Linked DNA regions of Coturnix japonica. The protein of the gene in region 2 purifies or fractionates together with the protein of the main gene of each other region. This does not show direct contact. Links are inferred from orthologs where the notes say so. Each region holds a gene or a part of one and is shown on either strand. Other genes may lie near its edges. The genes, in order: DRG1 and LRRC41.

Region 1 (4,271 bases), on a different chromosome or scaffold from region 2:
CCAAAGATGCTGGAAAAACCTTCCTTTCTATCTACATTCAGACACACAAGGATGACAATAAGCTACATAAAGATGACAAAGCAGCATCTTTGTTTAATAGATTCTCATCTGCCTTTAAAATTGGTAGCAGATTTTCAAGGCTGTGTCAACATATGACTTTAGGTTTGCTGAATTTAACTGAAACAAAGGAAAAAGACAATGGCTAATGTTTCACATTGAGCAACTGAATTCCAGCATACAATCCAGCTTCATGAATGTGTCAAGAGCAGAAACTCAGCCATTCTCATAAGGCATAATAACTGAACCAGCTTTGGATGCTGCCTCCAAGCTGCACTACACTCACCTGCAATGACTTGCCGTCCTCTGCCTTTTCCATCCTTGGCACCTTCAATAATTCCTGGCAGATCAAGTAGCTGTTGTTCAGGAAAGGAAAGGGACATATGAGAAAAAACAAATGTTTCTCTTTAAGATAAAATCTATTTGTACCTTTCTTCTTAAGCTGCTGAATTTACTGCACATCTTAACAAGACAAAGAGCAAAATTATTTCCACTTTAATTCCTACATACAGTGTTACTCCTATGGAATAGATAATACCAGAGCATGAGAACTACCACTGGAACTGTTCTCCAGAGAAAAGCAGAATAAAATTAGAACCTCACAGAAACATTTCCAATGTACTCTCGAGCACTTTTACAGATAAATTCTATTCTATTCTGTCCTAATACCATTATATCTATATATACAGTCTTAACTTCATAGACACCAGAAGATCTCACCTGTATCTTTGCTCCTTTGTATCTAATGACTCCAGGCACAGTAGTTAGTGTAGTGAACTCATATGCTGCCACTTCGGAGTAGACACCAGCAAGATTACTGAGCAGAGTAGACTTTCCCACTGATGGAAAACCCACAAACCCAATGCGGGCATCACCTGTCTTTGCAACATCAAAACCTGCAAGGAAATGACAAGAATTGACAAAGCACCTAAAGCCATTTCCTCATCTCCTACAGCTCTGCAGAGCCATATCACCGTTAGTTTTAATATTGCCCGAGTGACAGACAGGTCAGCTTTCCTGACAGGCTAAGAGCAGGACCCAGCCCGCACACTGCACACTGCCCCATTCACCACCTGCCTGCAGAGCAGAGCACCGCAGATACTTGGGCTGCACTTCACCCAGCTGCTGTGTGAGCACTGCAGCTTCCCCCCCCCAACACACACACACACACACCTTTGTATGTGGGCACAGACGTCCATTTCACACAAAACCCTCAAGACTTCTGCAAACACACCGTTATACCACCAAAACGCAGAAGTTCTTTTATTTACTCTTCAGATTCAACTCAAGGCCTCGGGCAGGGCCATAACACAACACCAAGCTACGGGCAGGGCCATTACATAGCACCCTGCTATGGACAGGGCTATAACACAGCACCCTGCTATGGACAGGGCTATAACACAGCACCTGCTATTGACAGGGCTATAACACAACACCCTGCTATGGACAGGGCCATAACACAACACCCTGCTATGGACAGGGCTATAACACAACACCCTGCTATGGACAAGGGCATAACACACAATCACCTCCTGTTTCTATGGATAGGGCCATCAACAATCAAGCACCTGGCTAGTGGATCAGCGGCCATAACACAACACCCTGCTATGGACAGGGCCATAACACAACACCCAGCTATGGACAGGGCTATAACACAACACCCTGCTATGGACAGGGCTATAACACAGCACCCTGCTATGGACAGGGCTATAACACAGCACCCTGCTATGGACAGGGCCATAACACAACACCCTGCTATGGACAGGGCCATAACACAACACCCTGCTATGGACAGGGCCATAACACAACACCCTGCTATGGAGAGGGCTATAACACAACACCTGCTATGGACAGGGCTATAACACAACACCCTGCTATGGACAGAACCATAACACAACACCCTGCTATGGAGAGGGCTATAACACAACACAACACCCTGCTATGGACAGGCCCATAACACAACACCCAGCTATGGACAGGGCTATAACACAACACCTGCTATGGACAGGGCTATAACACAGCACCCTGCTATGGACAGGCCCATAACACAGCACCCTGCTATGGACAGGGCCATAACACAGCACCCTGCTATGGACAGGGCTATAACACAACACCCTGCTATTGACAGGGCCATAACACAACACCCTGCTATGGGCAGGGCTATAACACAGCACCCAGCTATGGACAGGGCCATAACACAACACCCTGCTATGGACAGGGCCATAACACAGCACCCTGCTATGGACAGGGCCATAACACAACACCCTGCTATGGACAGGGCTATAACACAACACCCTGCTATGGACAGGGCTATAACACAGCACCCAGTTCCGTTCAGCACACTCCACATAACACAGCCCGTCCCACGCACCTTCCCCCGGTCCTCCTCCTCCTCCTCCCTTTGGTGTGATCAGCTCCCTGCGCAGTTTCGCCAGCCGCGCCTTCAGCAGCCCCAGGTGATGCGCCGTGGCCTTGTTCTTCTGCGTGCGGGCCATCTGCAACAACGCGGAACACAGGGCTCAGCCGTCCGCCGGGCCCTGCAGGATCCCCCCGCCCCGTGACGGAGCGGCTCGGTGCCGGACCCCGCCGGCTCGTTACCTCAGCCTCGATCTCCGCGATCTTCGCCAATGTCCCGCTCATGGCGGCGATGGACCCGGACCTACCGACCGCACCGCAACTACCGACCGCACCGCAGCCTCAGGCCGCTCCTCAGGCCCGGCCGGCAGCGCGCAGGCGCACAACGGCTTCTCGCGAGAAGCTGTGGGCGGGAAGCGGCGGGCGGAGCGCTGCGCTCTGCTCACTGCTCTGCGCACGGCACTGCACTGCACGGCCGGAGGGGGGCGCTGCTGCGTGCCGTGTGCAGCGCCGTGAGGGGACGGGCGGGAGCGTGTGTGAGGGAGAGCGGGAGTGAGGGAGCGGAGCGTAGAGCCGGCGTTTGCTCTCACGTTATATATCTACATGTCAAATTGAACGTGGTTTATAATAAGAAGCACGCTGTGCCACGCACTGTATAGAGGCATTTAAAAGGATGCTTGCACAACCACCTGCTCCGCCAGCCGGGATTCTGAGAATTGCAGCACCCAGAATGTAACTTTACCACAGCTTTGCTTGTGGAATTGTTATACGTTGACCTACGGTAAGAAGTAAAGCAGGGAGAGCTCCTTGCACAGGTCTCTGTTCTCATTCTTCCTCTCCTGGTCTCCTTCCCGCCCCATGTGAATTAAAAAAGCCATCTTTCACGTCACGAGCTCCGTTACAGTTGGAACTGTCATTAATATGAGCTTATGTAGAACTTAATGAAATAGAATCTCAAATAAAGTGGGATTAGAGCTCCTAGTAATGTTAGCTCAGGTAAGCCAGGGTAAATACGAGTGCACCTACCGCCGTGTGTTTGTTCATGGAATTCTAATTATTCCTTTGTGAACAATACTGGCTTTTAACATAGGACGCAGCAGGTTCAGCACTGCCGTTAATTTCTTTTGCTTCTCACTTCAGTTGGAATTTGACTTGTTTGATCCATAGCTGAATTCAGCCTTTAGTCCCTGACATTTGTAGTCCTGTTTGGTAACAGGAAAAAACATGAAGAAAAGTGCAAATGTGGGATGCTTAACCAGACTGCCTCTGTATTTGCAGAAGGTATTGATAACTGCAGGGCTAAAGCAATGGCATTAGTTGTTTTCACAGCCCAACTCCAGATCTCACTTACTGTGTCAAATTAAATCTACAAGTGTGGGATGAATGAGCAGAGATGTCAATAAATGACATTCTTAAGACAAAACTGCTCAGTACACAACCTTAAATCCTTTTTTTTTTTTCCAGAGAGCTATTCAAGCAAAGGTCCTCTAAGGACCTGAGGCACTTACAAACTTCTATCAGTGTTGAAAGGAGTAAAAGTTTCATTGAGATCATTTGCCCTATTATTTTTCCAGAAAACAACAACAACAACAACAACAAACATTTTCTAACTGGTCTGAATATTTGAAGTAGTTCAGTATTTGTAGTGTATTGGTTTATAAGAGCACCCTCTATGAAGCTTCAGAAAGGCTTATGCAGTTGTAGGGGCTGGTAGGGACCTCTGGAGAGGTTGGTTCCATGTTGTGAACGGATTTACTGTGATGACTCTCATGGTTTTTTGAATACAAGGTGTTATTATTATATGTTATTTCATGCTCCGGAGAATGTGGGAAGTTAGATGGGACAACTGGAAATGAGGC
Region 2 (2,980 bases):
GCAGTGGATAGCAGAACATGCTGGATTGGTTGTGTGGCTGTGGGGTAGCAGAACAGCATGGCTCCTAAGAGGCTGGAAGGCCCTTAACATTGGTCAGTATCTGCTGCAACAGCGGTGAGTTCATCACTTTGTCTCTGCTGCTGTGTCTTATACCCAAGAAACAACATCTTGGGAATAATGAGATCTTGTGTGCTTGATCAGATTCAGTGCTGGTTCCCATGCTGTGCCTTCTACTCAGCAAAATTCTGCCTTCAGGTTTATGTTAAGCCTGCAGTTCTAAAGCACTTGATATGCTGTCACGTTTTTTATTGGTAGCTTCATTTGAAAATGTGCAGGTTCCATTTCTGTCACAAAATATAAACCTTGGTTCGTTATTCAGGATCATGAGAATCTGTGCCAAAAACTTCCTCTTATTTTATGTTGGGCTTCTCACCTTAAAGAACATGTAGACAGTGGGGAAATGAGGCTCCATTTTGGTCACTACTTTATTATGGGTAGGATCTCCATGTCTGGCAAAGTGTTTTAATTAGATCACGTTAAAACCCATTAATAAAATACACATTTCAGTAGGTTCTCTTAATTCTGTTTTTATTATAAAAATATGACAAAAAAAACCCAACTCTTCAAAGCCTCTGGAAAAAAAAGATGCAGACAGTGGATGGGGGCAGGACCAGTCATTTTCCCAGATAACTTGATCAGTGATTGCTAACAAACAGCATGTTGTATTGAATGCAGCTTTTTTTATAAGGTAAACAAAAGGTCAAAAAGGGGGGGAGCTTTATTTAGTTGGGTTTTTTTCCCTACTCATTTTAAGTGGAAGGAGAAGTTCTTATTTAAAGGATCACAGACTATAACAGAATGGCTGAGGTTGAAAGGGACCTCTGGATGCCATCCTCTTCAACCCTGCTGCTCAAAAACTGCATCACTTAGGTGTGCTTGTCAGGGTCTATTTTCAGGCAGCTTTCAAGTTTCTCTAAGGGTGGAGATATTTATTTATATGATATTTGGTAAACCAACATGAAATCTGTATAAAAACCCCGGTCGAGATCTGCAGGATATCATAGAAGCTTATTTAATATGTCTGTTCCACTTTAACTGGAAATACAGCTGTTGACCCAAATGGTCACTATATCACTTCACTGTTCAAAGGAACAGAAAAGTGACAAGAACTGTCTCCTGCTTGAACCAGAGGAAGAAAACCTCCATCTGTGCTAAGTTTTAGTGGCCATGGACTGGAGTGTTTTAGTTCATGCTGATCAGCTTTCTCCTGCCCTGTGTCCTTTACATGACACTGATGTAATCAGCGAAAGCCTGAGAAGAGTCCCATGAGTCATTGACCACACTGCACACTGCTCTGAGACGCCGAAGTGCTTCTTGAGCTGTCTCAGCATCCTGATCCAGCCAATTTTGGAAGAGGCGTAAGTGGGTGAATTGAATCTTCCCCCCTCTCTGCTGGATGTAGCCTTCCAGCTTCTTTGTGAATTCCAGGAGCCCATCAGGTTTGATGCAATTTGAGCTGCTCAGAAAAAGGAGGGCAAAAAAAGTCACTAAGAATCTAGGCTGTAATTTGAGCAGTTACTGCTCCATCTAATAACCACCTATGTGGGGATGTTTCAATGCAAACTTCCCTCAGCAATACAGAGTATGAATGAACCATTAATTTAAACTGGGGGAAAAAAAAACCCAACAGCTCCTGAAACACAATGGCATTAAGGGCTGAAAGCTTTTATAAACCAACTATGGGAAGAAACCATAAAACTTGCTCTCCTGGCCTCCTAATGAATAACTGCACTAGTCTTCACTATGACCTTAAAATCCTGTTGGACTCAAGCTTCTGTCAGCACCCTTCAGTCTTATAGCAGCTCACTGGACCCAAGGGTCTTGACCCAGTCCACAGCTCTCAATGCAGCCCTCAGCAATAAGGGATCATTTCTTTCTTAGAAAGCGTTGAGAGGAGATGTCAGATCCCCGTATTTCTAGATTAAAAGATCATTTCTCTTGCACAGATGCATAAATGGATAGAAAGTTTCACAAGACTAAGTCTCAGCACATAATAGCCAAGTGGAGATGACAATTTCAGGATGCCAGACTGCTGAAAGAATGGCTATGGTTAGATTCTCATGCCTGTGTACTCGCAGTAAGCTGAGCCATTAGGATGTAAATGGGATTAAAATCAAGTAAAACAATATTGCAGAAATGCCACCTTCCACCTGCTTTGTGAACATAACACAGTGCCTGTGTTTATGGCTGTTGAGGCTCAATAAATAAATAAAGCAGCAGTGGTTCAGGTTGAAAACCAAAGAAGATGAAAGGGATACAGAGGCATTCGCAGGATCTGATGGGGAATGACAGTGTTCTCCCTGTGCTGGAGCAGTGGGAACAGAGCTGTTCACGCTGGTGGCTATGAATAAGTGTAGATAGATACATTAGTTCTAGCCTTAAGAGCAAGGAAGGTGTGCAGTAGCCTTGCAGGGGAGCACAAAATGAAAGCTGCTTTTAAGACGGAACTTTGATTCATTTATAAATGTGACAGTGCAGCACCTCAGGGAGCATGGCCTGGCCTTAGTCACTGGAGTTCCCTAAGGTTTTTAAGTGCTCACTGCAGCATTCTCTAAACTTTTCTTGTCCATGTGTTCCCTTAAGTAAAGAAAAAATCTGTACTCAGGCTTTCATTGCTATTCTGAGCCTAGCTGAGCTCTGGACATCCTGAAACAAATTCAGTGTCTTTAGAACAACAGAATACCTGACATCCAGCTGGCAAAGAGAAGAGGAGGAATCTTCAGAGAAAATGTCTGCCAGGGCAACCAGCCTGTGATTCCCTAAGAGGGGAGAAATGCAGCTGTTATTTCCCAGCTTGCAACTATCTTAAATATCTGAATGGCAAAGGGGCTGAGATTAATATCATGTAGAAGGGATTACGTAGATATTATGTAGAAGGGAGACTGAAAGCATGCATGCCCAGCATAAACAACTCATTTTC

What was found.
Region 1: the proteins of LRRC41 (region 2) and DRG1 purify together in Homo sapiens (affinity purification with mass spectrometry; 3 studies listed by BioGRID and IntAct, counting the BioPlex papers as one, with this or other methods). This does not show direct contact. The link is inferred for Coturnix japonica from reciprocal best matches to the Homo sapiens genes LRRC41 and DRG1.

The regions. Positions count from the first base shown.
Region 1 is NC_029530.1:7,969,755-7,974,025, forward strand, and holds the start of DRG1 (developmentally-regulated GTP-binding protein 1), read right to left. Parts: upstream 2,809-4,271; 5' UTR 2,698-2,808; coding exon 2,656-2,697; intron 2,553-2,655; coding exon 2,429-2,552; intron 954-2,428; coding exon 778-953; intron 414-777; coding exon 344-413; intron 1-343. UniProt on the Homo sapiens protein: Catalyzes the conversion of GTP to GDP through hydrolysis of the gamma-phosphate bond in GTP. Appears to have an intrinsic GTPase activity that is stimulated by ZC3H15/DFRP1 binding likely by increasing the affinity for the potassium ions.
Region 2 is NC_029523.1:19,158,357-19,161,336, forward strand, and holds the end of LRRC41 (leucine-rich repeat-containing protein 41), read right to left. Parts: intron 2,820-2,980; coding exon 2,744-2,819; intron 1,517-2,743; coding exon 1,282-1,516; 3' UTR 572-1,281; downstream 1-571. UniProt on the Homo sapiens protein: Probable substrate recognition component of an ECS (Elongin BC-CUL2/5-SOCS-box protein) E3 ubiquitin ligase complex which mediates the ubiquitination and subsequent proteasomal degradation of target proteins.